5 linked regions of the Macaca fascicularis genome follow. The protein of the gene in region 3 purifies or fractionates together with the protein of the main gene of each other region. This does not show direct contact. Links are inferred from orthologs where the notes say so. Each region holds a gene or a part of one and is shown on either strand. Other genes may lie near its edges. The genes, in order: ATR, PLK1, TOPBP1, CDC45 and SIRT1.

Region 1 (5,860 bases), about 8.8 Mb from region 3:
TTTTTAAAAGCAAGAGTCCTGCTATTTTTGGGGTACTCACGAAAGAATTATTACAACTTTTTGAAGACTTGGTTTACCTCCATAGAAGAAATGTGATGGGTCATGCTGTGGAATGGCCAGTGGTCATTAGCCGATTTTTAAGTCAATTAGATGAACACATGGGATATTTACAATCAGCTCCTTTGCGGTTGATAAGTATGCAAAATTTAGAATTTATTGAAGTCACTTTATTAACGGTTCTTACTCGTATTATTGCAATTGTGTTTTTTAGAAGGCAAGAACTCTTACTTTGGCAGATAGGTTGTGTACTGCTAGAGTATGGTAGTCCAAAAATTAAATCACTAGCAATTAGCTTTTTAACTGAACTTTTTCAGCTTGGAGGACTACCAGCACAACCAGCTAGCACTTTTTTCAGCTCATTTTTGGAATTATTAAAACACCTTGTAGAAATGGATACTGACCAATTGAAACTCTATGAAGAGCCATTATCAAAGCTGATAAAGACACTATTTCCCTTTGAAGCAGAAGCTTATAGAAATATTGAACCTGTCTATTTAAATATGCTGCTGGAAAAACTCTGTGTCATGTTTGAAGATGGTGTGCTCATGCGGCTTAAGTCTGATTTGCTAAAAGCAGCTTTGTGCCATTTACTGCAGTATTTTCTTAAATTTGTGCCAGCTGGGTATGAATCTGCTTTACAAGTCAGGAAGGTCTATGTGACAAATATTTGTAAAGCTCTTTTGGATGTGCTTGGAATTCAGGTAGATGCAGAGGTAAGTAATTTTTCAGGTTACTTGTTAAGTATGTATTTTGTTCATCATTTAATTGTATACATATGTGCAAAATGTAATAATAAGGAAATGGAATATCTTTAATAGTAATTTATATTTGGAACATAATGATTTTCATTGTGTAGTCTGGCTCACTGTTATGGACTTTTACTTTGATTTCAGAAGGATTTGTTATTTAAGTTGGTAATGAACTGCCAATGGAGTAGAATGTTTCTAAGTAGAATCTGTGATGTGTAAATGTATTTGTTGCATTATTAATTAAAAGGGGGCAGTTATCAACTTAATTGCAGAAGCTTTGATCACTCAAATAGATTTTGTGTCTGACAAGTTATAATCAATCACTTTTAGAAAACCTATGAATGATTAATCATGCCAAATTATGTGCTTTTTTCTGTTTGGACTGTGGGAGTCAGGAAATACAATAAAATCATCAGAGATGCAGTAACTTGATTAAATATTTTAATTTATTAATCTTGCTGGATTTGTTACATGAAAAAAGTTGGTAATTCCCTTACAACATTTTTTATAAGGGAATTAAAATTTATAGCATTTTGGTAAGAGGAAAAACAGGATATAGAGAGAAGGATTTGTCTTAAACCTTCTGAGACTATAGAACCATAGTCTATATATAGACTTAAATAATATAGATCAATTTAGATGTTTGTTTTGTTTTATGAGACTCTAAAAGTAGTTTCACTAGAAAACATCTGACTAACATCTAATACATTCTTGCTACCTATGAATAATATAAATATATTTTCTAAGGAATATTTCTGGAAATTATTTTTTATTTTCTCAGTACTTGTTGGGCCCACTTTATGCAGCTTTGAAAGTGGAAAGTATGGAAATCATTGAGGAGATTCAATGCCAAACTCAACAGGAAAACCTCAGCAGTAATAGTGATGGAATATCACCCAAAAGGCGTCGTCTCAGCTCATCTCTAAACCCTTCTAAAAGAGCACCAAAACAGACTGAGGAGTATGATGACCTTCATTCAGTTTGTATTTAGCCATTAAATAAAACTTTGTTCACTTTTAAAAATCAACTTATTAGTTAAGTGCTTTGATTTAAATACACAAAGAACATCTTTCTAAATGTAGCCAAGGGAGTGCTTAAAATATTTTAATAATTCTTGTAGACTGTCAGTAGTATAAAACATTTCATGGTTAAATATAGTTAGTTTGCATGTTTTTACATGCTTATCTAATTTAACTTTTTAATAGGTGAAAAATCTTTGAGACTGTGCATCTATTAGCAATTTTTAAAATGTTAACAAACAGTTTTTATAAAGTAGCTAAATAATTGCTATATTTCAGTTCTGAACATTGTTTTAATTGTTTTAAATCTTAATATGAATTTCAATAGTTGATATTACATAGTATGTTTTATTCTAAAGATGTTTCATGTTTTAACCAAATTTATATTGCATAAGAATATCTCTCTACTGTATTCATAATTATAGAATTAAACATGTGAACATGAACCAAAAGAGCGTATTATGGAGTGCACTGAAACAGAAAGCTGAATCCCTTCAGATTTCCCTTGAATACAGTGGCCTAAAGAATCCTGTTATTGAGATGTTAGAAGGAATCGCTGTTGTCTTACAACTGACTGCTCTGTGTACTGTTCATTGTTCTCATCAAAACATGAACTGGTAAAACAAACTTCTTGTTTCTTGGGGTTGGGTTTCCTGTAATGAACTTGGATTTACTGTTTACTCATTATTCACTTGAATCATGTGACCTTAGAACACAAACTTTTCACTGAAGTAGTTAAGAAATTTATTTTCTATTGAGTCAAATGCTAGGCACAGTGCTAAGCACTGTATATATCTTAGTTAATATTTACAGTAGTCCTCTAAGGTAAATGCTGTTATGCCCATTTTAAAAATTAGAAATTGACACTCAGAGAAACTGAGGCTCTTTTTTATCTGAAGCCAAAACTGACTTTCTTGGGGACGCATGGTTAGAAAGTACCAGAACACATTTGTGTACAACTCAAAAACCCAGTGTTTGGCTTTTGGAGACAGGGTCTCGCTTTGTCTCCCAGGCTGGTGTACGGTGGCATGATCATGGCTCACTACAGCCTTGATCTCCGTACGGGGCTCAAGTGAGCCTCCAAAGTAGCTGGGACTATAGGCATACGCCGCCATACCCTAATTAAAAAAAATTTTTTTTGTAGAGATGGGTTTCCCTGTATTGTCCTGGCTGTTCTCAAACTCCTGGGCTCAAGTGATCCTCCCATGTCAGCCTCCCAAAGTAATTTTAGTTCCCAAATCCTAAGGGTGATTTAAGCTGACATAAATAGATTAAATTTAAAATAATGATTACTTGATTTGCATATTTAAATTGTTGTAAATTTTGTACTCACAATTTCTTTTGGCTTTACTACAATTTTACGTTTGACTATAACAAAATTCGTCTTAATTCCAATGTCTTTAATAAAATGTACTTACTGCAGCCCTACTTTCAAGGACTGTCAACACAAATCCAAGAAGAAACCTTCTGTAGTGATAACTTGGATGTCATTGGATTTTTACACAAAAGTGCTTAAGAGCTGTAGAAGTTTGTTAGAAACTGTTCAGAAACCAGACCTGGAGGCAACCATTGATAAGGTGGTGAAAATTTATGATGCTTTGATTTATATGCAAGGTGAGTACAAATAAGCAATAGATCAGAATAACCTTTAAAGATAATCAGTATAGAAATACGCTTTCTTTTTTGCCTGAAGCCTAAGTGCATGGAATACCCAGAAGTTTGTTCTTGATTTCAGTTCTATTAAATTTGTCAATTTCTGAGTTGCCAGTTTATGTGCGTAATATTTTGATTCTTTAGTCAATAGAAATTATTTATAACTTTAAAGTTTTTTGATTTGGGAGTTTGAGGAATGCTGTGGTTCTTCTTTAAAAAAGGCACAGATACATGTTTTTATAAAGTCACATTTAATTTCTTTGGGTTCACAGACCTCAGACCATCATTTATGGATCTCTGTGTTAAGAATTTTCTTCTTATCGAATGATCATTATAACAGTATTTGGTATTTCAAATGTCTTTATTTTTGTTTAAAAGAGATATGATTAAGGAAAAATTATAATTAATGACTTATTTTGTGCTTCTGTAGTAAACAGTTCATTTGAAGATCATATCCTGGAAGATTTATGTGGAATGCTCTCACTTCCATGGATTTATTCCCATTCTGATGATGGCAGTTTAAAGTTAACCACATTTGCCACTAATCTTCTAACATTAAGCCATAGGATTTCAGATAGCTATTGTAAGTGCTCACAAGAATATGTTTGTGTGTGGTTTGTTTTATTTATTTATTTATTTTTGAGACACAGTCTTACTCTGTCATCCTTGCTGGAGTGCAGTGGCGCAATCTTGGCTTGCTGCAAATTTTCCTACCTCAGCCTCCTGAGTAGCTGGGATTACAGGTGTGCACCACCACACCCAGATAATTTTTGTATTTTTAGTAGAGGTGGGGTTTCACCATGTTGGCCAGGCTGGTTTCGAACTCCTGACCTCAAGTGATCCACTTGCCTCAACCTTCTAAAGTGCTAGGATTACAGGCGTGAGCCATCATGCCCGGCTTTGTGTGGTTTGTTTTAACTCACCTCTATATAGGACTTCTAAGACTTATTTAAATTTTTTTCAATAATTAAAAGAGCAGTTATATTTTTAATAATTCAGAAAGGGGTTAGATATATAAAAAGTAACACATAAAATCCTGACCCACATATCCCATTTCCTTTCTTTTTGTAAAACATTTGCAATGTATCCTCACGTGTCATTATCTTCATTTAATAAGATTAGGAAGTATTTGAGAAATATTTTAAAAAGAAGAACAATATACCAAAAATTCTTATACCAACTTCTCAGTTTAAGAAACAAAAACATTAGGCCAGGCACGGTGGCTCACGCCTGTAATCCCAACACTTTGGGAGGCCAAGGTATGTGGATCACTTGAGGTCAGGAGCTTGAGCCCAGCCTGGCCAACATGGCAAAACCTCATCTCTTCTAAAAATACAAAAATTAGCCAGGCATGGTGGCTTGTGCCTGTAGTCCTAGCTACTAGGGAGGCTGAGATACAAGAATCTCTTGAATCCAGGAGGCAGAGGTTTCAGTGAGCCAAGATTGCGCCACTGCACTCCAGCCTGGGCAACAGAGTGAGACTCTGTCTCAAAAAAAAGAAAAAAGAAATAAAAACATCATAGCCCTTTAAAGTCAATTTCTCTTCACCCTTCCCTCTCTTCATGAAATTTTTTTTAAAAAGGAAATAAAAATATTAGAGATATGATGGAAGCCCTTTGTTCCTCTATGATTTCATTCCCCTCATTTTTTTCCCCCAGAGATTACTACTGTTGTGAATTTGGTGTTGATTGTTCTGTTGAATGTTCTATTACTTTTACTATATATGTGTTTATTTGTAAATAATAAAAGAAATTGTTTTGCTTCTTACAGCTTACATTTTGTTGGTCAACATTATCTTTATGAGACTTATCCTTGGTGATATGGGTAACTCTAGTTTTTATTTAAACTTCCAAATAGTAGCCAAATGTATGGATAGACACTATCAGACCTCCTATTGGTGGACAATCACGTTGTTTCCAACTTTTCACAATTACATGCAACATTTAAATGAATATTTTTATAAATGATTCTTTAGTCATTCTAAGGCCTTGCTGTTTGAAAAGTATGGTCCACAGACCAGTAGCATCGCCACCATTTAGGGACTTGTTAGAAATGGAGCATCTTTGATTCTGCTGAGAGAGCACATTTAAAAAAAAATAAAATAAAATAAAGAAATGGAGAATCTTATGCTCCACCCAGACCTACTGAATCAGAATCTACATTTTAACAAGATAGGTGATTCATATCCATATTAAAGTTTGAGAAGCACTTTTTAACGTTTTTACCTACGTAAGAGTAGTATTGTTGGGTTATAGAGTTTGCACATCTTCACCTCTATTCTGCTGTATTGTTCTCCAAAGATATGCCAGTTTACACTCCTGTTAGCAGAGTATGAGTTCCACATCCTCACTGACACTTAGCTGACTTTAAAATTTTTGC
Region 2 (6,608 bases), on a different chromosome or scaffold from region 3:
AAAGCAGGCCTGTTTGCAAGGCTGGCCCTTGGCTGGCATCTGAAAGCTTGGATTTCAGGAGGGTTCTCATTAATCCCTAAATGATAAGAGTGGTTCACTGTGCCTAAACTGTTTGTACAATGTGGATTATGCCCGACATCTGCCTTCCTTCTGCGAGTCTTGGATTTTCATATGTGTTAGGCAGAGGATGAAGTGACCAGCTCCCAATCAGAGCCCTGAACACTGAGTCTGTAATGAGCTTCCCTTGTACACAACAGTGTGTATGGGTTGTCACAGCTGATTGCTGGAGGAATTGTGTCCTGTGTGACTCTGCTGGGAGAGGACCGTGGGAGGCTTGCACCTGGTTTCCCTGAACTTTGCCCATGCACTTTTTTCCTTTGCTGATTTTGCTTCCTAGCCTTTTGCTGTAGTAAATCATAGCCATAAGTATGATTACAGGCTGAGTCTGTGAATCTCCTAGTACATCATCAGACTAGGAGGTGGTGGTGGCACCCCTGGCACAGGGCACAAGGGAGACTTGCGGGGTGTTTGTCATGTTCTCTTTCTCAATCTGGGTGTGGTTTACAGATGTGTTCAGTTTGTGAAAATTCACTGAGCTCTGTGTACAATTATGATATGTACATTTTTTTCTGTAAGTATATTAAATTCCAATAAAAAGAATTATTCACACCATAGGGGTACTAAATAACTTAATTTTTCAAAGTCTTCCTTTTATTCAGCCAACATTTTAGTAAGTACCCTTTTTTTTTTTTTTTACCAAGCACTGCTCTGGGAGCTTGGGACATGGGGTGGAAAGGACAGCATCATTGCCTTCATTGCCTTCATTGCCCTTCCCTTTAGCTGCAAGGCAGGTGAAGGATACTTATAGTATGGTTGATTTTTGCTGGGCTCTATGAAGGATCAGAGGGTGCTAAGGAGGCACAGAGAAAGAGCTTCTAACTTAGGTATTTTGCTGTTCCAGGGTTGCCACTCAAGTACCTATAGAACAAAGGGGTGTAAATGGGAACTGTGGCAAACTGAAAGCATGTAGGCACAGAGTTAAGTAGCTAGAGCTGATTTTTTTCAGGAAAGGCCACAAATCCAAATTTTTATGACCTCCTCTTTTAAATGCTGTAAATGTTTTACAATGGCCGGGCATGGCTGCTTATGCCTGTAATCCCAGCACTTTGGGAGGCCGAGGTGGGCAGATCACTTGAGGTCAGGAGTTCAAGACCCGCCTGGCCAACATGGTGAAACCTCTTCTCTACTAAAATTACAAAAATTAGCCGGGCATGGTGGTGCACGCTTGTAATTCCAGCTACTTGAGAGGCTGAGGCGGGAGGACTGCTTGAACCCAGGAAGCAGAGGTTGCAGTGAGGCGGGAGGACTGCTTGAACCCAGGAAGCAGAGGTTGCAGTGAGCCGATATCTGTGCCACTGCACTCCAGTCAGAGCAAGACTCCGTCACACACACACACACACACACGTGGGAGGCCAAACAAAACCCTGCAAGACACATTTGGCTATGACCTGCCAGTTTGCTAGGCATTCTTCCAACCTTCCGTCCCTCTGACCAAGAAACTGAGTGTCCACTATTTTAGGCCCTGGGAAATTCAGTAGCGAGCAGGCCAGACAGCTTCCTTGCATCATGGAGGACTCTGGTACTGTGCTTCTCCAACTTCAGGATGTGTAGGAATCACCTGAGCAGTCTTGTTGAGAGGCGGACACTGACTCGGGAGGTCTGGAGTAGGGCCTGAATGTTTGCCTTTGCGGTTCTAACAAGCTCTCAGGTGATGGCGATGCTGCTGTTCCATGGCCCCTTCTTTAAGCAGCGTTGCTTTGTAATCCGGAGGAGCTCAGAAGCGGCAGTTATTTGAAGGAGCAGACTAGCCATGAAGGTATGTTTGGCAAGCACACTTTTACTTAGATTTTAGTTCAGTTCGGGTGGCTTGGCTGAGAGCTGACGGCATCGGGAGGCGGATGCTAAGGCTTTCTTAAACGACCTGCTGGCATGCCAGTTCCCTACTCTTAGATTGCTTATATTCTAGGTGGGGTGGAAGTGGAGGAAGATTTAAGGAAAAGCTTCCTGGAGGAGGCGCAAGCGAACTGCAGGAGCTTTCCCGGACGCCCGAGAAAGGGAGAAACCCCGAAGGAATTCCTCCCCTCTCGGGGCTGGGTCTCCGCATCCACGCCGGATTTGGTTTCCCAGGCTATCCCACGTGTTCGGGCGTCCCTGTCAATCAAGTTTTTCCCCGGCTGGGTCCGGGTTTAAAGGCAGCTGCTGCGCAGGGCGCTCCCATGGTGCCGCGCGGCGGGCGGGTTTGGATTTTAAATCCCCGCGGCCAATCAGTGGCGCGCAGGCTTTTGTAACGTTCCCAGCGCCGCGTTTGAATTCGGGGAGGAGCTGAGCGGTGCGGAGCGTCTGCTCGGATCCAGGTCAGCAGAGCAGCTCCAGGAGCATGAGTGCGGCAGTGACTGCAGGGAAGCTGGCACGGGCACCGGCCGACTCTGGGAAAGCCGGGGTCCCCGGAGTTGCAGCTCCTGGAGCTCCGGCGGCGGCTCCACCGGCGAAAGAGATCCCGGAGGTCCTAGTGGACCCACGCAGCCGGCGGCGCTATGTGCGGGGCCGCTTTTTGGGCAAGGGTGGCTTTGCCAAGTGCTTCGAGATCTCGGACGCGGACACCAAGGAGGTGTTCGCGGGCAAGATTGTGCCTAAGTCTCTGCTGCTTAAGCCGCACCAGAGGGAGAAGATGTCCATGGAAATATCCATTCACCGCAGCCTCGCCCACCAGCACGTCGTAGGATTCCACGGCTTTTTCGAGGACAACGACTTCGTGTTCGTGGTGTTGGAGCTCTGCCGCCGGAGGGTGAGTGTCGCTGCTGGTTAACTGGAACTGCCTGCGGGGCAGTTGGAGCGCCCAGACCTGGAGCTGCTGGAAAGAGTGCCCAGGAAGGGAGTACCTGGGACTTGGAGCTGGTAGAGAAGGGTGCTGGGAGCCTCCCTCTTAGGTATGGAAAGTGCCTTTGGTAAGGGCTTCTTGGCTCTTGGAGCTGCTAGAGGACGGGGTTCCAGTGAAGTGGAGTCTGAGTCATGTTGCTGATAGGGAGGTCAGCTTCTGGACGCGAGGTACTTGGGGGGAGGGCTGCTGGTAATGGACGCTAGGGCCCTGGAGTGGCCAGGGAGGAGTCCCAGGTTAGTGATGCCGGGCACTGGGAGCTTCCGGAGTGTAGCTGGGTCAGTGAGGGGGTAGTTGGAGCTAGACTTCGGGCCTTCCGAGGGAGATAAGAGTCAGGAAAGGGATCTGCTGCTGGGGACTTCCGGAGTGGGGCTGAGAGAGGACCCCCAGGTAAGGGAGAAAGCTAGTAGGAGAAGGGGTGCTGTGAATGGTTGTGGACAGTGTTAAGGCAGGGTCCAGATGCCAGTTGTCCTGGAGAAGGAATGGGGTGGGGGCATAGGGAAGGAGAGAAACCCACCAAGACCCCTCTTTCATCCTTTGGGAGTCCAGAGTCCAGTCCTGTGCTTCCTTTGCCTGGTAACCCTCTCCCTTCCCCACCGGCCTCAATACCACCTCCCCATCCCTCCTGCCCTCTCCTTCCCATCCACAGTCTCTCCTGGAGCTGCACAAGAGGAGGAAAGCCCTGACTGAGCCTGAGGCCCGATACTACCTAAGGCAAATTGTGCTTGGCTGTCAGTACCTGCACCGAAACCGAGTTATTCACCGAGACCTCAAGCTGGGCAACCTTTTCCTGAATGAAGATCTGGAGGTGAAAATAGGTGAGTTGCTGAGCCTGCAGGGGTGCTTGACATCACTCCAAGAGGCTGGAATTTGGAGGAGGCTGGGAGAAAGGAAGGAGACCAGGAGGAAGGAAGAGGATGGTGGGAAGTTTGGGCTGTTGATTGCCTCTAGAATTCTCTCTTTAGTCCAGAAATTTCAAACAAAGAACCCACAAGTCAGTATCTTGCCTACAGATGCATTATTTTTTGTGCCCCAATACAGCATTTTTCTTTTTTTACAAAGAATTTGAATTTGTTTTTATTTTTTAAATTGGAAGGTTTGACATAAAAATTTTGATTTAGAGCTCCTTTTAAACAGTCATGAAAGCTCCAGTAATACGAGGACAGCATTTTCTTAGGGCAGTCCTTTGCTGGGCTGGAAAGCAGCTGTCCCCTTCAGACTTGTTTGCCACAGTCTCTACTCCTCCCTATTACTTCTTCACAGACTTGCCAAGTCTTGGAGGTTAACTTGCTTGATCCTTGAAGGCACTGGAGTTTTGCTATCCCTGCCAGTTCCCGTTTCGAAGTATAGCCCCTTTCTAAGGGGAGGGGTGAGAAGGGTCACTGGAGGCACCTCCCTGGTGTCAGCATGGCGGGAAGATTCCTGGGCAAGCCTTGCTGCGTACAAGGAGCAGAAGCTTGTGGGATCAAATGGCCCTGGTTCTTGATGGTCAAACCTTAACTAGCCTTCTGCATTGACAGATGGCAGAGGCTGGCATCTAAGTACCCGCTCTTCCTCCCTCTGTCCCAGGGGATTTTGGACTGGCAACCAAAGTCGAATATGACGGGGAGAGGAAGAAGACCCTGTGCGGGACTCCTAATTACATAGCTCCCGAGGTGCTGAGCAAGAAAGGGCACAGTTTCGAGGTGGATGTGTGGTCTATTGGGTGTATCATGTAAGTTGGGAGTTATCTCTGGATCTACCTGGTCTCAGCAGGGGCAACTTTGGGACATCCTACCTGGCTGACCTTTTCTGTGGACCTTTCGGCCTGCTTTACAGCAAACCTACTGCAGGGGACAGGTTACCCCCAAACAAAGCCTAACTGCCATATCTTTCCCTGTCACTGGTGTATCCTGTTGGATTTCTGCAGCCTAGGACATGGGGGAGGAGGAGGGGGAGGAGAAGGAGGAGGAGAAGTCGTCTCCACAACCTTACTCTAGTCCTTTGCTAGAGTGGTCCACAGGGCAGCATCACCATCATTTGGGAACCTGTATGCGGAATCTCAGGACCCAGATTACTGACTGGGTCAGAATCTGGATTTTTTAACAAGGTCCCTTGGTAGTTCCCGTGCACAATAAGGTCTTAAACATTGATGAACATTAGCATGGTGGGGGAAATTAGGCCAGGAGTTACAGATGGAAGGATGACGTGCTAGTGGTCTGTCTGGATTGAGACCATCAGCAGCGGTTGGTGGCAGGCAGAGGCTTGGGCCTTTTCAGGTATTACCTTTCTTGTTTGGGGCCTAGGTACTGGAGAGTTAGAAATGAGTTGTAGCAGTGACTTTCATACATCTTCGCAGTGGGGTTTTTCCAAATGAAAACTTGAAGACTTAAGTACAGAATTGCTAAAGGTAGAGCTGCTTCTGTAAGTGCAGGTAGCCCTTTGACCTGTTTTGCATGACAGGCAGCCTCTGAGGCCCTTGCAGAGTCCTAGATGACCACAGGCCACAACTAAAAAATCACTGGCCCCTAAGAATCCTAGTCTCACCACGTGTATTCTGCTAAGGGCTCATTCTAGCCAATATTATGGCTCCTGGGGCTGCTCAGTGGACTTGGTTGTCTTCAGGGGCCCCAGAGTTACAGTGAGTGTCCAGAGGATGCCTGGTCTTTGTTCTGACCCTGAGATGATTTCTCTTATGTCTGGGTTGTGGCTGGGAGGCTGGTGCCAAATCCTACCTTGTGCTTACAGGTATACCTTGTTAGTGGGCAAACCACCTTTTGAGACTTCTTGCCTAAAAGAGACCTACCTCCGGATCAAGAAGAATGAATACAGTATTCCCAAGGTGACTAATGATGCTTTAACTTTACATTTATTTTGTTTTCCCCAAAAGCTGTTTATGGAGCCCAGCAATATCCTAAGACCAGAAATAGGTCTATCCCACCTCTAGGATAGCCACAGAGCTTGCGAGGGCCTGTGTCTGAAATTACATACAGAACTTGACATGTATGTGCACATAAGCATTTTTTCTAGGGGGAGAGAGTTGGCAGATTCTCAAGAGATTGGGTAGCCCAAAAGTTGCGTAAAAAGCAAAAAACAAAGGAGGTAGGAAGGAGTAGGAGGCTAAAGTGCTTAAGCTTTGGAAATGGATTATCTTAATTCAAATGGATTCTGCCACTTAGCCAGATCACATTGGGCAAATGGCCTGCATCTTTTTTTTTTCTTTTTTTTCTTTTTTTTTTTTTGAGGTAGAGTTTTACTCTTGTTCCCCAGTGCAGTGGCATGATCTCGACTCTCGACTCACTGCAACCTCCACCTCCCAGGTTCAAGCGATTCTCCTGCCTCAACCTCCCAAGTAACTGGGATTACAGGTACCCACCACCTTGCCTGGCTTTTTTTTTTTTTTTTTTTGTATTTTTAGTAGAGATGGGGTTTCACCACGTTGGCCAGGATGGTCTCGAACTCCTGACCTCAGGTGATCCACCCGCCTCAGCCTCCCAGAGTGCTGGGATTACAGGCATGAGCCACCATGCCCAGCCTGGCCTGCATCTTCTGAACCATAGTTCTCGTCTATAAAGTGGAGTTCCTGCCTTGGAGCACCTCACAGAGTGCCTTACATGTAGTAAGTGCTCACAGAATTATGAATCACTGAATCCCAGGGCTTCCTAATGGCATAGTGGTGTGCAATTTCCTTTTT
Region 3 (5,860 bases):
ACTTTGGGAGAAGTCACAAGAGAAGTAAGAAAGACATTTTTATATTTTCTAGATTTGAAAAAATGATGCATTCAGTCATTTTTGGCATGTGATATACTCTTTGGATTTATCATTCAGGGAAAAAAATAGTGTCATTACTGTTTTCTCCAGTGAAAACAGAAGAACAGAATCTACAAGCTCTTATTACCAAGACATAAGTTAACAGGCATAGAATGGGCTAAGGGTTTATCCTTAGCTACAGAGTGATACATGCTTTGGCGATAAAGTTCTCAGCTGTAAATGTTTCTGAAATATTGAGAAAACGAGTTTGGCAATTCTGTAGCTTTTATGTTGCATTATCCTTCAACTCCATTCCCCTGTGTTAAGATAGAGAATAAATTAGTCATTTTGGCAGTTGCATTCCTTCCAAAAGATGGCATATGTAAGGTTGAATATAAACATATATAAGTCATCAGCTGAGATGTGATTATTTAATAAATGTTAACTGAGCCCATTTTACATATCTGACCCGAGCTAGGCTTTAGTTATATTTAGTAAGCAAAACAGATAGTCACTTCCCTCATGGAACTTAGAGCTTATTTCAAGGGGCGCACTTTAGTTCCCCTGCAACTAGATAAACAACCACAAGACCAAATACCACAGAATTCTATTGGCATACGAATTATATCGGCATTTTTCTGGGCTTGTTTTCAACACCATCCGGCATATCCTAAGTATGTCTCCATGTCAGCAACTCTCATTCCCAATGTGATTACTTCATCAGCACATCTGCCTTGCATGGCAACAGAATAATGATATTTTTGTTGGTATTTTGCCAGAAATCATTGCTTTTACTTATATAGAATAATGGGAAGATTAAAAAGTTCGTTTTTCTAATAGGCAACCAAATTACCTTTGGGTTTTTAAGTAGAGATTCAGACTTACAATTTTGGAAAATATACCACTGTGACCAGCAAGGGCTAGAGTTAAGGAAATGTATATTTTTCCCTTAAAATGGTTTTGAGAGACTGTATCTGAAACAATTACTTTGTGTTAGAGACATGTTATTGAACTCGGTGAGTAATTAGTGTAATTCTGTTTGGTGGTTCTCCTTTGTAAAAAAATGATTTTAAATCCTAAAAAATGAGGAAAGCAATAGTGGTATTTGTGTTGTTTTTCATTATTCTTCTGGTAAATTTAATATTTTCTTTTTTAACCATTTCATTCCCACAGAAAAATAACTAGATATACTGATATAAACATGGAAGATTTCAAGTGTCCTATTTTTCTTGGTTGCATAATCTGTGTGACTGGCTTATGTGGCTTAGACAGGAAGGAAGTTCAGCAACTCACAGTTAAGCATGGAGGTCAATACATGGGACAATTGAAAATGAATGAATGTACACACCTCATTGTGCAAGAACCAAAAGGTAAAACTGTGTTTCACAAAGGGACAAATGAAACATTTTCTCTAGTATTTAATATTTTATTTTTATTTATTTATTTACTTTGAGATAGAGTCTTGCTCTGTTGCCCAGGCTGGAGGGCAGTGGCACAATCTCAGCTCACTGCAACTTCTGCCTCCCGGGATCAAGTGATTCTCCCAACTCAGCCTCCCGAGTAGCTGGGATTACAGTCACCTGCCACCACGCCTGGATAATTTTTTATTTTTAATAGAGACGGGCCTTCACCATGTTGGCCAGACTGGCCTCTAACTGACCTCAAGCGATCTGCCCACCTTGACCTCCTAAAGTGCTGGGATTCCAGGCATGAGCCACCATGCCCAGCCACTAGTATTTAATATTTTAAAATCTTTACAGAACAGCTTTTATTTCTGACATGTCATTAATCTAGTTTGATACTGTTTTCTCTAACATCTTGCAAAGGTAGTTTGGGTCACAATCTGTAAACCGATTATATGACTTTTTTTCATATTTATTCAGGTCATTGAGTAAGTATAAAAAAACCAAAAACTTTTAGTGATGTTTTATTTAAGCTTACTTTTGTATCTTTTGATTTTTTAAAAATGTTCCTCACACAATTACCAAATAATGACAAGAAGTTTGGGTAAATAACAGGAAAACTAATAAATATAGCTAATTGGCATTTCTTTCTAATGACTAATTTAAAAAGGCTTAACTTAGTTTTAGTTTGACTGAATGAACTACAAGTTTTAACTGGAAGACACACCTTGCGGAACATGAGGCAGTAAAAAATGAAGAAGACATTACCAACAATAAAAATTCTTTAAAATTGCTGTTAGGTTGCCGGGCGCGGTGGCTCAAGCCTGTAATCCCAGCACTTTGGGAGGCCGAGACGGGCGGATCGCGAGGTCAGGAGATCGAGACTATCCTGGCTAATACGGTGAAACCCCGTCTCTACTAAAAAAATACAAAAAAACTAGCCGGGCGAGGTGGCGGGCGCCTGTAGTCCGAGCTACTGGAGGCTGAGGCAGGAGAATGGCGTGAACCCGGGAGGCGGAGCTTGCAGTGAGCTGAGATCCGGCCACTGCACTCCAGCCTGGGTGACAGAGCGAGACTCCGTCTCAAAAAAAAAAAAAAAAAAAAAAAATTGCTGTTAGGTTTGGTGTTCCATAACATTATTTTGGATGATTTTTTATCAGCACTCTTAAAATATACACAAATTGATAAAAGATGAGTTTTGTTAATGTTTTTATTATTGCCTTTTATATGTGTACCATGTTTTACTAAGCTACCTAGATTGAGAAGAAATTAAGATTAAATGGTAATTGTCCTTAAGTCAGAACTTTGGGTATGGCCAGTTGTGATAGGATCACTGTGAGTAGAGTTGATACTGCTGTTCTTTTTCTGAATCTGAAGACTGTTCATTGTTGATTCTCTCAAGAATGCCAAAAAACGTTTCATGTGACATATTGACCTCAATTCCTCTGTGATACTGCTTCAAAATACATTGTGTTAAAGATTTTTAAGGTAATAAAAAGATACATATTTTTAACGTAATTTATCTATTGGCTTATCTATCCTGGACTTTAAGTAGAAGCCTGTTGACATTGGAATAGTCTGTTCAAAGTTGGGATTTATTATATTGCACACATTTACAATTTTCACATTGTACAAGCTGGTTTAAAGAAAGTAAATGATGGAGCCTATATGCAAACCCAAGTCCAGTATTAATTCAGTTACCCCACAGTTGCTCCTGTCTTCCTGCAGTTTGTGTAAAAGATAAACACTCTCACATGGCATGTGTATTTATGCAACACATAGAAAATATAATTAGGCAGTAAGCTAAAATACTACTTTGTAATAAACTATGTAGCATACTGTTTAAGAGTAAGTACTGGTAACTTTAATTTTGTTGATAGGTTTTTAAAATAACCTGTTACAGCCAGGTGTAGTTGCTCACGCCTGTAATCCCAGCACTTTAGGAGGCCAAGGCGGGCAGATCACCTGAGGTCAGGAGTTTGAGACCTGGCCAACATGGTGAAACCCTGTCTCTACTAAAAATACAAAAAAATTAACCAGACGTGGTGACACGTGTCTGTAATCTTAGCTACTCAGGAGGCTAAGGCAGGAGAATCGCTTGAACCCAGGAGGGAGGTGGAGGTTGCAGTGAGCCAAGATCTCACCACTGCACTCCAGCCTGGGCAACACAGTGAGACCCCATCTCAAAAAAAAAAAAACCTGTTATAATTTGAATATTTCTGCAAAGATAGATTTTAATGGTTTTCATTTCTTGGTTTCTCCTGTTTTCTCTATTTCTTTCTTAACGCTACAGGTCAGAAGTATGAGTGTGCCAAGAGATGGAATGTACACTGTGTGACCACGCAGTGGTTTTTTGACAGTATCGAGAAAGGTTTTTGTCAGGATGAATCCATGTACAAGACAGAACCTAGACCAGAAGCAAAGACTATGCCCAATTCTTCAACTCCTACTGGCCAGATCAACACAATTGATAGTGAGTCTCACTGAGATTAAATATTCTGAAGACAGTCATATTTCTGTGTAATAATCAGTATGTTAATAGAATCACTGAGATAGGGAATTTCTTTTTCTTGTTTGCTATGCTTCTAGGCATAATAGTATAATAGTCAAATTGTGTGAAAAGTTAGTACTGAACTGTTCATAACTTTTTTTTAGAATGAATGAATGCTTTCTTTTATACCCTGATGTAATGCAAAAGATGATCAAAGAAATTAAGAACAATGGTAGATGGAGGCTTAAGATACAAGTATTAATCTTTTAAACATTACTGACATGCATATATTAATCTTTCCTTAATTTACGGTTTTGCTGCAGTTGTTATAGATCGTCTGTATTTGTATAAAAATTAAAACAGTTTCTATTTTGTAGGTGTTGTGTTGGCAAAATGTTTAAAATATTTTTTCAAATGTAAGCCCCTTGGACCTTAAAGTCAGCAACTTCAGATTTTTATGGGAAACAAGACACTATTAGGAAAATGTGTTAAATCTATTTTCATTTAAATAAGATAAGAGGCTTAATTAATTTCATTTTCCCTTTTTATACTTTGTCACTAAGATTTCAGTAAACACCCCTGAATCTTACTTTGGAAGTTGTTTATTGCCCTATATTTGTAAGAAAAGTTAATCCATAGACAATATATAATCACGATTATTTTATCTCCCATAAATTTATACATGTTTTCAAAATATGTAGGTCGTACTCTTTCAGATGTCAGCAATATTTCCAACATAAATGCAAGTTGCATAAGTGAATCAATATGTAATTCACTTAACAGCAAACTGGAGCCTACACTTGAAAATCTAGAAAATCTGGATGTCAGTGCATTTCAAGCACCTGAAGATTTATTAGATGGTTGTCGGGTACGTCTTTATTATATAATACATGCATTAAGTGATGATATGCATTAGCATTTCCTGGCCTGACTTTGAAGACCCTTCAGAGTTGGGCTTGCTTCTTACTACCTATGTAAACTCTCCACTCTAGCTAAGTAGATGTGCTTACTAGACCATGTCCATCCTTTGGCTGCAAGAGTCCCTCTGCCTGTGAGGTATCTTCCTCTGTTACCTTTTAAAAGTTCATTTCAGGTTTTAACTCTTCTCTGAACCCTCCTAACTACATTAATCTTTCCATCTGCTGTATTTTGAGAGCACTTAGTTTCTGAACGACTTATTGGATTTTTTATTTTTATTTTTTTGAGATAGGGTCTCACTCTGTCGCCCAGACTGGAATACAGTGGCACAATCATAGCGTCCTGTAACCTCGAACTCCTGGGCATCAGCCACCCCTTAGTCCGCAAGCAGTTAGGACTACAGGCATGTGCCACTACAACTGGCTAGTTTTTAAAATTTTTTTGTAGAGACAAGGTCTTACTATGTTGCCCAGGTTTGGACTTTTATTTATAACTATCATCTAAGTGTTTACAGTGTATTAGACACTGTACTAATCATTTTATGTATGTTAATATATATATAAAATCTCATTTAATTCCCACAGATAACTCTAAAATGGATATTATCTTGAGGGTAAGACTTAGAGAATTAAAATTCTTGTTCAGAGTCACACAGAGAGACATTAAGTGGCCAGTTATCTACTCCAAAGTCTGTATTCCTTACCATTAGAGCCAATGCTTTGTTTGGTATTTCTTGGGCTATTTAATTTTTTAGTATATGAATAATTGTCTTATGAGTTTGTTGATGGAAACATCATATGCTATACTTTTTCGGCTGTCTTAGATTGGAAAACTTAATGTATTCCTATTTGTAGAATGACTTGGCTGTGCATTAATTTTCACAGAGTAGCAAAAATTTAACCTTACCTTATTGTTAAGAAGGGAAATTGGAGCTGGGCGTGATGGCTCATGCCTGTAATCCCAGCACTTTGGGAGGCCCAAGCAGGCAGATATCTGAGGTCAGGAGTTC
Region 4 (5,860 bases), on a different chromosome or scaffold from region 3:
TTTTGTATTTTTAGTAGAGACGGGGTTTTTCCATGTTAGTCAGGCTGGTCTCAAACTCCTGACCTCAGGTGATCTGCCCGCCTCGGCCTCCCAAAATGCTGGTATTACAGGCTTGAGTCACCATGTCAGGCCGGTAAAAAAATTTCTAAGAATATACCTCTAATATACACATACTTAGTTATAAATCATGCACAGGTTTTAATTATATAAAAAGTATTCTTCTCAAGAATGCTTAATGTTATTAAAATCAAGGCTCTAGACCTAATTTACAGATCATAGAAAATGCAGGGATAGAGAAGCAAGTTAAAGTACTCCAGGAAGAAACAAGTAGTAGTAAATATTAGAAAAGATGACTGGCGGCCAGGCGCGGTGGCTCAAGCCTGTAATCCCAGCACTTTGGGAGGCCGAGACGGGCGGATCACGAGGTCAGGAGATCGAGACCATCCTGGCTAATATGGTGAAACCCCGTCTCTACTAAAAATACAAAAAACTAGCCGGGCGAGGTGGTGGGCGCCTGTAGTCCCAGCTACTCGGGAGGCTGAGGCAGGAGAATGGCGTAAACCCGGGAGGCGGAGCTTGCAGTGAGCTGAGATCCGGCCACTGCACTCCAGCCTGGGCGACAAAGCGAGACTCCGTCTCAAAAAAAAAAAGAAAAAAAAAAAAAAAAAAAAGAAAAGATGACTGGCCTGTAGTGTCATTAAAAACAAAACAAAAGAAAAAAAAGAGGTAAGGTACAGTTCTAGGTTAAGACAGCAAAGAGAAATAGCTAAATGTGTTAACCTTGATTGAAGAATAGTTCAGAAATAAAAATAGCTGCAAAATATATTTTGAGGACAATTAAAGAGACCTGAATATGGGCTGAATATTACCTGATATTAGCATATTATTCATTTCTTCTGCATGACAATGGCATTGTGTTTATGGGGAAGAATGTCCTTATTCTTAGGAGCTGCTTACGAAAGAATGTGTGGAATATCATGGTTTCTGGTTGGGTGTGGAGGTGCACGCCTGTAATCCTAGCTACTTGGGAGGCTGAGGCAGGAGAATCACTTGAGCCCAGAAGACAGAGGTCGAAGGGAGCCGAGATTGTGCCACTGCACTCCAGCCTCAGTGACAGAGACTCCATCTCAAGAAAAAATAAAATAAAAAATAAAAAATAATATCATAGTTTCTGCAACTTATTCTCAAATGATACAGGAAAAAGAATATGTAGAGAGAAAGCAAATGTGAAAAACTGTTTTTGTTTTTTTTGAGATAAGGTCTCTTCATGTTGCCCAGGCTGTTCTCGAATTCCTGGGCTTGATCAATCCCCCTGCCTTGGCCGCCCAAGTAGCTGAGACCACCTACAGTCATGATCCACTGTTGACTCTAGATTGAAGATATATGGATATTCACCGTACTATCCTTTCAACACTGCATACATTTCAAAAAACTTCAAAATAAAAAGTTGGTGGGAAATTATGCCTATTATATTTCATGAATATTATGTTAAACATTTACAAACATAGATTCCAAATTGATGTGTTAAGTATGTAAAAGGAAACGCTGATATTTTCTTGCATCTCATCAAGACAACCTACCTTCTCTTTGTTGCCAAACCCACTGGGCTATTCTCATTGGCCTGTTCCTTTGGCACTGCTGGCCGAGCCTTCCTTGAAACTTTCCTTCCCACCTCAGAGCCGCAGTGTCTATGGATGCTCTGCCCAGGAATCCTCCTGGCTCATCCCATGCTAACTCACGTTTGGTACCTGAAAGCTTTCCCTAATTGTGCTCATTTACATGATCAGTATCTGTCTCTCCCACTGGAAAGCTTTGCAAAGGCAGGACTTTGCTCTCATCCCTGCACCCCAGGGCCTAACTGGTACCTGGCACATAGTAAGTGTTTAAAAAATATGTTTATTAGTCAGAATGGAAAATTTCAAGACTTACCTGTAGAACATGAATGTTTCCAGGGAAAATCCCATTAGACACTGATATTTGGGAACCAATGAAATGCAGCTCATCAATAGTTAAAAGAATGCTATGGCCGGGCGCGGTGGCTCAAGCCTGTAATCCCAGCACTTTGGGAGGCCGAGACGGGCGGATCACGAGGTCAGAAGATTGAGACCATCCTGGCTAACATGGTGAAACCGCGTCTCTACTAAAAAACTAGTCAGGCGAGGTGGCGGGTGCCTGTAGTCCTAGCAACTCGTGAGGCTGAGGCAGGAGAATGGTGTAAACCCAGGAGGCGGAGCTTGTAGTGAGCTGAGATCTGGCCACTGCACTCCAGCCTGGGCGATAGAGTGAGACTCCGTCTCAAAAAAAAAAAAAAAAAAAAAAAAAAAAAAAAAAAAAAAAAAAGAATGCTATATATAAAAAAATTCAGAGAACAAAAAAGACCTCTCACAAATCAAAGATTAGAAGATAAAAACCAAGCTGAGTGTAGTGGCATGTGCTTACAGTCTCAGCTACTTGGGAGACTGAAGTGGGAAGATTGAGTGAGCCAAGAAGTTTGAGGCCAGAGAGAGACCCTGTCTGCAGGGAAAAAAAATAAAATAAAGACCAAAAAGTCTTCCAAAAAATAGAACAGACAAAGAGCTGGGCAAGAAGTAAGGAAATATAAGAGTAGATCCAAGAGATTCCTGATGAGACACCCAAACCTAGTGAAAGGGGTGACAAAGGTGAGAAAGAAGAGAGAAGCATGCCTCAGTTTTAAGGGCACTGCCCCTTCCTCAAATGGAGAATGTCCTGAATGTCTCAAATATGGCTCAAAAAGACTTCCCAAAAGCACACTACTGGGAAATGTCAGGCTGAGGATGAAGAGAAGACCTTAGGACATTCCGGGGGCAAATTCTAGGTCACACACCAAGATCGGGAGCCAGAGGGCATCTTCAAAACATCCTATGGCCCTCCGTGCTATAGGAATCACCACCTTCTGCCTATCGTTTTACATCTGGCAGAAGCCATAGTGTTGGGTAGGCCCCTGGGCCCAGCCCCAGATCGCTAAGCAGCTCAGACCCAAGGTCCACATGGTGAAAACCATTCGTATCTGTACATACAAGATACCTCCCCTGGAGTAACTGTCTGGGACTGGGCCTGGCCAAGGGATGCAGACCCACATTGCTCCTCTGCAGTGACTGCACAGTGAGTGATGCTAGAAGACAGTAGGAAAGGAAGGGGTGGGAGTTGCACTATTTATTGCTTCTCTACATTATTTTTTTGCTATCTAGCTGCAGAGCTGAGCTGTCCTAAATTTCATTTTATCTGACAGGATCCTATTGGATAGATAAGCCACTATTCAGGGAAGTCCAGTAACCTGCCTGAGGCCACACAACCAGGGGACAGCAGAGCCCAGGGTCAGCATCCATGCCTGTTAACTTCTCCACTTCCCACTGCCCTCAGGTACACCTGGGCCTGGCAGCCTTTAGGATGACCTCTGACCTCTGGGAGTGCAAGTTCCTCCGGGATGGCTGTGAGAGACCCAAACACACCTCTTCTAACCGTGTGCGCTTCTCAGAAGGCTCTGACCCATCGCTGTCATTTCCTGAATGCTCTTCATCCTCCTCTTCATCCCTGAAGATGTCTTCATAGGCGGGAACTTCAAGGTCATCATCTTGTTTAATGAGTAATTTGATCTAAGTTCAAAACAAAAAGGAATTAAGCCTCTCCTCTTTCTACGGAAAACTACACAATATGTTCTTCTGCAGAATCTCATCATTTCCTAATAAGCTGACTCAGTTTCCTGTTCATACAAATAGCTACCAATTTAATAAGAGTTCCAGGCTTCCAAGGAATTTTCTTGTTTTCATTACCAGTGAGGCACCAGAGTTACACCATACGTGGTATGCAGAAATTACGAAAATCTGAAAACAATTCTTTGAGGACCATCTAGTCTACTTAAGTCTAGAAACACAGCATCCTCTTATGTCATACATGAATAAAATGAATGCCCCACAACTTGGCCTCTGATAAAGGACATGAAGATGTGTAACCCCTAGATGACTAAAACTCCTGTCTAAAAGTAACTCCAGGCTGATTTTTCTTTTTTTTTTTTTTTTGAGACAGAGTCTCGCTCTGTCACCCAGGCTGGAGTGCAGTGGCCAGATCTCAGCTCACTGCAAGCTCCGCCTCCCGGGTTTACGCCATTCTCCTGCCTCAGCTTCACAAGTAGCTGGGACTACAGGCGCCCCCTACCTCGCCTGGCTAGTTTTTTGTATTTTTTAGTAGAGACGGGGTTTCACCGGGTTAGCCAGGATGGTCTCGATCTCCTGACCTCGTGATCCGCCCATCTCGGCCTCCCAAAGTGCTGGGATTACAGGCTTGAGCCACTGCGCCCAGCCTCTTTTTTTTTTTTTTGAGACGGAGTCTCACTCTGTCGCCCAGGCTGGAGAGCAGTGGCACGATCTTGGCTCACTGCAAGCTCCACCTCCCAGGTTCATGCCATTCTCCTACTTCAGCCTCCCAAGTAGCTGGGACTACAGGCGCCCACCACCATGCCTGGCTAATTTTTTGTATTTTTAGTAGAGACGGGGTTTCACCATGTTAGCCAGGATGGTCTCAATCTCCTGACCTCATGATCCGCCCGCCTTGGCCTCCCAAAGTGCTGGGATTACAGGTGTGAGCCACCATGCCCATCCAAGACTCCATTTCAAGTAAAAATATAAACAAATATTTTCTGAGCGTGGTGGTATGTGCCTGTAGTCCCACCTACTAACGAGGCTGAGGCAGGAGGGTCAGTTGAACCCAGGAGTTTGAGGCTTCAGTGAGCCATGATTGTGCCACTGTACTCCAGCCTATCTCTCAAAAAAAAAGATGACAAAGACCAAGTTCTTGTGTTCAGGCTGTTCCAATCCCACAGGATAGTCAGACACACACCTTACCAAGAACACCAGGTGAGACATTGTACATGGCATAAAAAGTACAGACAGTTTGAGGGCAGAGCACAAAAAGTACCTGGGTATTGTTGTACACATTGATGACATTGACTGGCCTATGGGTGTCACACACAAAGAATATAGTGTCTTCATCAGGTTGAAGAATATCCAACAGGTCTACATTAGCTCCACAGTTTATGAGAATAAAATGACGAAACTGAAAAAAAGGAAGATATTGTAAAGTAGCTATATCGAGGAGGCCCTTTTCCCTTCACCACTAAGTCTCTGAGTTGTTCTGCTTAAACTTACTAAGTCCCTGACATGTGGCAAGGCCCACGTGGCAAGGGATTCCAAAAAACGGCCAGGCTGGCATGCTAAGTGCTTTAGCATGGTGACAGAGCAGTGTGGGCCCTGGGGCTCCGTTTTCCCCAGGAGCACACTGAGACTCAGCAAGCCCAAGTCTTATGGACAGCTCAAGAAACTAAAGAGGAGCAGAGCAAGGCTTCAAGCACATGATTGCGTCTCTCCAGACCTCACGGTACTATGCTGCATGCCTCTCCAGGCTAATGGCATTGTACAGGTTTAAGTTTTCAGCAAATACTTTATTGGTACTTAAATATTAAGTCCTTTATCACACTCCATCACTATTGCATGTGCTTTCCTTATCAATACCAAGCTGGTGCAGGTCCTTGACATAACAACAGGAACACCAGGAGAGGACTTGTCTCTGCCAAAACAATCCTAGATATGGCCAGGGACTCCAGGGTCCCTCTTCCATGTCCCATCCCCTCTCTGTGGGGTCTACAATGTCCCATCTCTCATTTGGCCCCATGCAGAGGTGGGAGGAATCCTGGCATCTATTGTTTAAATTTATTCCTGTATTTCAAGTTGGAAACCAGGATGCATTTTCTTGGAGAAATAATATAAAATAGTAGTGTATTCTAAAATAATTTTAACTAATTCCAGCACTTTGGGAGGCTGAGGCAGGCGCATCACTTGAGGTCAGG
Region 5 (5,860 bases), on a different chromosome or scaffold from region 3:
TATTTCTAACTTGAGCTTACTGTTTGCTTCTCTGTCTCAACCAAAATCTGAAAATTCGTAGGTAGTTCCTCGATGTCCTAGGTGCCCAGCTGATGAACCGCTTGCTATCATGAAACCAGAGATTGTGTTTTTTGGTGAAAATTTACCAGAACAGTTTCATAGAGCCATGAAGTATGACAAAGATGAAGTTGACCTCCTCATTGTTATTGGGTCTTCCCTCAAAGTAAGACCGGTAGCACTAATTCCAAGTAAGTTGGTGATGGCTTTTGGAGATCATTTCTATATATAATGTCATGGGTTGTGGATCTGTATAATAGACCCTAACTCTAGTAATCTTACTCTGCTTCTGTTTGAAAGAGTGGTGAAGAGCTAATTTTCGAAATTGTTTGTTTATTTATTGAGATGGAGTTTCCCTCTTATTGCCCAGGCTGGAGTGCGGTGGCGTGATCTCAGCTCACTGCAACCTCCGCCTCCTGGGTTCAAGCGATCCTCCTGCCTCAGCCTCCTGAGTAGCTGGGATTACAGTTGTCCACCAACATGCCTGGCTAACTTTTTATATTTTTAGTAGAGACCGGGTTTCGCCATGTTGGCCAGGCTGGTCTCGAACTCCTGAGCTCAGGTGATCCACCCGTCTTGGCATCCCAAAGTGCTGGGATTACAGGCATGAGCCACCATGCCCGGCCAGAAATTGTTTATTTATAGTAGAGATGAGGTCCTGTTGTGTTGCCCAGGCTGGATTTGAACTCCTGGGCTCAAGGATCCTCCTGCCTCAGCCCCTTGAGTAGCTAGGATTACAGGCACAAGCCTCCACATCTGGCTCAACTATTTTTTATGTGGCATTGTTGTTCATTGAGACTGGTGAATCTGACATTTTGATGGGGTGTGGAGGGTTGTCAAAACACAAGTAACGTTAGTGACTCATGCCTGTAATCTCAGCACTTTGGGAGGCCGAGGTGTGTGGATCCCTTGAGGGCAGCAGTTTGAGACCAGCCTGGCCAACATGGTGAAACCCTGTCTCTGCTAAAAATACAAAAATCAGTTGGGCGTGGTGGTGTGCGCATGTAGTTCCAGCTACGTGGGAGGCTGAGGTGTGAGAACCGCTTGAACCCAGGAGGCAGAGGTTGCAATGAGCCGAGATTGTGCCACTGCACTCCAGCCGGGGCGACAGAGTGGGACTCTGTCTCAAAAAATCAAAAACAAAAAACCCCACAAGTAATGCTAAACTCTACTTCTGATTTATGTGAAAAATTAAGACAAAGGTAAAGAGTGTAACTTAGACTTTTTGGTGGAATGTGTTTTTAATGTTAGCATCAATTAATTTATGAAATGGTCCTTAATCCTCATATTTTTATTCTTAAGATTACAGTTGATCTTTCAAATTTAATTGATTTCACATTTAATAAATTCAAATATATAGTTTGGTAGAAGGTAGAAGTGTAACGTACCATGTAAGATGGAATTTCGGGGCTCAAAATGATTGGTTCATTCTTGTTGTAATAATAGCCAAGTCATAATGGTGATATGTTGGTCTAGTTTACCCAAAAGGGTGTGTTTATAAAATGTTCACATAAAATTTAAATCCCTGTTACTCTCAGGAACATTTCTTTGTCATATGTATTCTCATACTGTTCTCTCCTCTAGTTTAGAATCAGAGGAGGAGGAGGAGGAGAGAGAGAGATTTCAGTTGCATCAGATGTATCCTTTCACAAGTGAGAGAAAGAGGACAGGAAACAATATTAAATCCCTAGCCGGAGAATTTAATTAGACCCCACATCAGCAGTCAAGGCAGCCAGAGTAAACAGTTGAAGGAAACATGGAGTCAAGCTCTTCAATTTTGTGTCTATCCCATATCTTGTGGCTTTAGCAGTTAACTCAGTCTTACCTAATTAGCTGTGAAATTCTGTTAAAGTAGAATACAAGACAATTTGCAATTAAATGAAACATGAAAATGTAATATACAAGTCCCTTTGTTCTTGAGTTACTCTTTTTAAAGCAAATTCAGAGGCACTCTGCTTAAAAGCTTTTTTTATTTTTATTTTTAAGAGATGGGTGTCTTGCTGTAGCTCAGGCTAGAGTGCAGTGGTGCAGTTATAGCTCACTGCAGCCTTGAACTCCTGGGGACAAGCAATCCGTCCACTTCAGCTTCCCCAGTAGTTAGGATCACACACGCACACCATGCTTGGCTAATGAAAAAAAATTTTTTTTTGTAGAAACGGGATTCACTTTGTTGTCCAGGCTGGTCATAAACTCCTGGCCTCAAGTGATCCTTCCTCCTCTGCCTCTCAAAGCATTAGGATTACAGGCATGAGCTACCACGCCCCGTTTTTTATTTCGAAAGCTTTCTGTGGGATAGTATGGTGTGTTGCAAAGATAATTAAAAAAAGAAACAGGTTTACAATAGTGTAGAATTTATTTGTATGACTTTTTTCCTTCCCTCCCCTCCCCCCCACTCCCTTCCTCCCTTCCTTCCATCTTTCCATCCTTCCATCCTTCCTCCTTCTGTTTGTCCTTCCTTTCTTCTGTATGTCCGTCCTTCTGTCCATTCGTCCTTCTTCCCATCAGTCCATCCTTCTGTCCGTCCTTCCTTCCTCCCATCCTCCCTCCCATCCTTCCATCCTCCCTCCCATCCTTCCATCCTCCCTCCCATCCTTCCTCCCGTCCTCCTTGCCTCCCTCGTTGCCCAGGCTGGAGTGCAATGGCATGATCTTGGCTCACTGCAGTCTCTTCCTCACTACAATCTCTGCCTCCTGGATTCAAGCATTTTTCCTCCCAAGAAGCTGGGATTAGAGGCATGCGCCACCACACACCCGGCTAATAGTAGAGACGGGGTTTCACCATGTTGGTCAGGTTGGTCTTGAACTCCTGACCTCAGGTGATCCGCCTGCCTCGGCCATCCAAAGTGCTGGGATTACAGGTGTCAGCCACCGCACCCGGCTCACCTTCTTTATATCAGGAGCTACTTAAGTAGAACATTTATGTGCCAAGAACTCTTCTATGCACTTGACTTATTAACTCATTTAATCTTCACAGTCTTGTGGAAAAGTACTATTATCCCCATTCTACAGACAAGGAAATTTGAGGTTCAGAGTGGGAAAGTCTGGGAATATTGCTCAGGGGTAACCAGGTGACAGGAGCAGAACCTGAACGTTTTATAAAAGACATTTAACTGCCTATCTGCTTGCTTGATGAAATGTAATGGCTTGGTTAAGTATTTAGTTCATGGGTTTTTTTTGGAAATTTGGAGCTCAAGCCCTTGTTGGATTTTTGTGTAATGTATCTGTTGTGGTTTTATTAGCTTACTTCTTCCTCCCTTTTTCTAACTTTTATTTTTCACCCTATTTTAGGTTCCATACCCCATGAAGTGCCTCAGATATTAATTAATAGAGAACCTTTGCCTCATCTGCATTTTGATGTAGAGCTTCTTGGAGACTGTGATGTCATAATTAATGAATTGTGTCATAGGTTAGGTGGTGAATATGCCAAACTTTGCTGTAACCCTGTAAAGCTTTCAGAAATTACTGAAAAACCCCCACGAACACAAAAAGAATTGGCTTATTTGTCAGACTTGCCACCCACACCTCTTCATATTTCAGAAGACTCAAGTTCACCAGAAAGAACTTCACCACCAGATTCTTCAGTGATTGTCACACTTTTAGACCAAGCAGCTAAGAGTAATGATGATTTAGATGTGTCTGAATCAAAAGGTCGTATGGAAGAAAAACCACAGGAAGTACAGACTTCTAGGAATGTTGAAAGTATTGCTGAACACATGGGAAATCCGGATTTGAAGAATGTTGGTTCCAGTACTGGGGAGAAAAATGAAAGAACCTCAGTGGCTGGAACAGTGAGAAAATGCTGGCCTAGTAGAGTGGCAAAGGAGCAGATTAGTAAGCGGCTTGATGGTAAGAAAGGCAATCGAACCATTTTGAAAGTATAGTTGTCATAACAATATTTCCAAAAAATTAGCTATTTCGGCAGGTTAATCGATAGGGTAGCTTTATGTAGTTGATTCTGTTTAGAGAAACTGTACAGTTCGTAATCAGAAAGGTAAATCTGGTATCCTTCATAATACAGAGAAGGAAGTGTTTAATAGTGCTCTGTATGTTTTCTCTAGGGGATGGAAAAATAAGAATGGGTTATTAGCTGGCGGAAACAATGACAGATTTGGGTGCTTATTGTGGGTTAGCTGCTTTACATATGTTACATGATTTTAATCTTCTGAGGTAGAATCTATTATTTTCTTCTGCAGGTGGGAAAACTCAGGACCATAGAGGTTAAATACCTCATGCACGGTAAATACTAAGAAGTGAAAGAACCAGATTAAAATTCCAGTCTATTTGTGCTTAGAGCCTGCCCCCTTAACTACTATGCAGTGTTGTCTGAGATTTAGAACACATCTGTGTTTCCTCTGAGGACTTGGAAAGAATCCGTGATTCTTCTCCACTGAATATAGGAATAGTTTCTACCCTGTTTAGAACATGCATAGTCTTTATCAATCAGTGTTAATTGACATAGGTGAAATCACTTTCTACTGTTCGGAAGCTGATGTTTTAAGTCCGAGTAGTCTGGTCGAAATTCCTAACTTAATGTTAGAAAAATACTGTTAAAAAAAAAAAAAACCACTGTAACTTAGCTATAATTTAGAACTCTTAAGTCTCATTCCATTTACCATACTTGGTGAAAACTGACAAATTTTAGACAACTGTATTTGAGTATTCCAGTCATTTGCTGTAAATACATTGTAGTTCAGTTGAATAAACCTTTGGCCTTTTTCATATTAGGCACTGTGGTAAGTTCTGGAGACACAGTGATTAATGTTGTATGTAATTATAAATGTGGGTGTTACTCATTAATACTTTGGTATAGGTGCTGCTGAAGAACAAAATAGTATTGTTTTGAACAAAACATCACCCAAAAGGTAGGTTGTTTTTTTTGGGTTTTTTTTTTTTTTTTTTTTGGTGATGGAGTCTCACTCTTGCCCAGGCTGGAGTGCAGTGGCACAATGTCAGTTCACTGCAACCTCCACCTCCCAGGTTCAAGTGATTCTTCTGCCTCAGCCTCCTGAGTAGCTGAGATTACAGGCGTGCGCCACCATGCCCGGGTGATTTTTGTATTTTTAGTAGAGACAGGGTTTTGCCATGTTGGTAAGTCTAGTCTCAATCTCCTGACCTTGTGATCCACCCGCCTCAGCCTCCAGAAGTGCTGGAATTACAGGCGTGAGCCACCATGCCCAGCCCCAAAAGGTAGATTGTACTTGGAGATTAGATTATACAAGGCTTTCTAAGGAGCAAAATATTTAACAATAGGTAGGGATTTAAAAAGAGCAGACGTGTTCCCAGGGGAAACTAGAAAAAGCATAGAGGGATGCTTATGTTTGCAAATCGTGGCAGAAGTCAGAAAGTAGAAAAATTGCTACTGACTTAGGTAATATACAGTCGTCTCTATCATATACAAAGTCTACTTGTGCACTAAGACTTGCACTGGGAACTTTTCTTGAATGTCATTTTGGCAGATGTGTCAAACGCATAAATCTCTTCCCAGGAAACAGAGTTAACCTGGAGCAGTCATTTTTATTTTTTTACATTTTTATTTATTTATTTTTTGAGACGGAGTTTTGCTTTTGCTGTCCAGGCTGAAGTACAATGGCGTGATCTCGGCTCACGGCAACCTCCGCCTCCCAGGTTCCAGCGATTCTCCTGCCTCAGCCTCCCGAGTAGCTGTAGCTGAGACCACAGGCGCGTGCCCTCATGCTCAGCTAATTTTTTTTTTTTTTTTTTTAGTTTTTGTAGAGACAAGTTCTTGCCACATGGCCCAGACTGATCTTGAACTCCTGGGCTCAAGCAGTCTGCCTGCCTTGGCC

Evidence for each region.
Region 1: the proteins of TOPBP1 (region 3) and ATR purify together in Homo sapiens (affinity purification with western blotting; 8 studies listed by BioGRID). This does not show direct contact. The link is inferred for Macaca fascicularis from reciprocal best matches to the Homo sapiens genes TOPBP1 and ATR.
Region 2: the proteins of TOPBP1 (region 3) and PLK1 purify together in Homo sapiens (affinity purification with mass spectrometry; 3 studies listed by BioGRID and IntAct, counting the BioPlex papers as one, with this or other methods). This does not show direct contact. The link is inferred for Macaca fascicularis from reciprocal best matches to the Homo sapiens genes TOPBP1 and PLK1.
Region 4: the proteins of TOPBP1 (region 3) and CDC45 purify together in Homo sapiens (affinity purification with western blotting; 3 studies listed by BioGRID and IntAct, with this or other methods). This does not show direct contact. The link is inferred for Macaca fascicularis from reciprocal best matches to the Homo sapiens genes TOPBP1 and CDC45.
Region 5: the proteins of TOPBP1 (region 3) and SIRT1 purify together in Homo sapiens (affinity purification with western blotting; 3 studies listed by BioGRID, with this or other methods). This does not show direct contact. The link is inferred for Macaca fascicularis from reciprocal best matches to the Homo sapiens genes TOPBP1 and SIRT1.

What each region holds. Positions count from the first base shown.
Region 1 is NC_088376.1:45,366,832-45,372,691, reverse strand, and holds part of ATR (serine/threonine-protein kinase ATR), read left to right. Parts: coding exon 1-773; intron 774-1,590; coding exon 1,591-1,769; intron 1,770-2,253; coding exon 2,254-2,445; intron 2,446-3,251; coding exon 3,252-3,442; intron 3,443-3,911; coding exon 3,912-4,064; intron 4,065-5,860. UniProt on the Homo sapiens protein: Serine/threonine protein kinase which activates checkpoint signaling upon genotoxic stresses such as ionizing radiation (IR), ultraviolet light (UV), or DNA replication stalling, thereby acting as a DNA damage sensor.
Region 2 is NC_088394.1:22,746,016-22,752,623, forward strand, and holds the start of PLK1 (serine/threonine-protein kinase PLK1), read left to right. Parts: upstream 1-2,420; 5' UTR 2,421-2,437; coding exon 2,438-2,845; intron 2,846-3,584; coding exon 3,585-3,753; intron 3,754-4,504; coding exon 4,505-4,649; intron 4,650-5,662; coding exon 5,663-5,756; intron 5,757-6,608. UniProt on the Homo sapiens protein: Serine/threonine-protein kinase that performs several important functions throughout M phase of the cell cycle, including the regulation of centrosome maturation and spindle assembly, the removal of cohesins from chromosome arms, the inactivation of anaphase-promoting complex/cyclosome (APC/C) inhibitors, and the regulation of mitotic exit and cytokinesis.
Region 3 is NC_088376.1:36,577,928-36,583,787, reverse strand, and holds part of TOPBP1 (DNA topoisomerase 2-binding protein 1), read left to right. Parts: coding exon 1-24; intron 25-1,212; coding exon 1,213-1,409; intron 1,410-3,735; coding exon 3,736-3,915; intron 3,916-4,634; coding exon 4,635-4,801; intron 4,802-5,860. UniProt on the Homo sapiens protein: Scaffold protein that acts as a key protein-protein adapter in DNA replication and DNA repair. Composed of multiple BRCT domains, which specifically recognize and bind phosphorylated proteins, bringing proteins together into functional combinations.
Region 4 is NC_088384.1:33,362,438-33,368,297, forward strand, and holds part of CDC45 (cell division control protein 45 homolog), read right to left. Parts: intron 5,071-5,860; coding exon 4,933-5,070; intron 3,615-4,932; coding exon 3,471-3,614; intron 1-3,470. UniProt on the Homo sapiens protein: Required for initiation of chromosomal DNA replication. Core component of CDC45-MCM-GINS (CMG) helicase, the molecular machine that unwinds template DNA during replication, and around which the replisome is built.
Region 5 is NC_088383.1:78,651,677-78,657,536, reverse strand, and holds part of SIRT1 (NAD-dependent protein deacetylase sirtuin-1), read left to right. Parts: intron 1-61; coding exon 62-248; intron 249-1,641; coding exon of another isoform or gene 1,642-1,646; exon of another isoform or gene 1,647-1,781; intron 1,782-3,344; coding exon 3,345-3,902; intron 3,903-5,860. UniProt on the Homo sapiens protein: NAD-dependent protein deacetylase that links transcriptional regulation directly to intracellular energetics and participates in the coordination of several separated cellular functions such as cell cycle, response to DNA damage, metabolism, apoptosis and autophagy.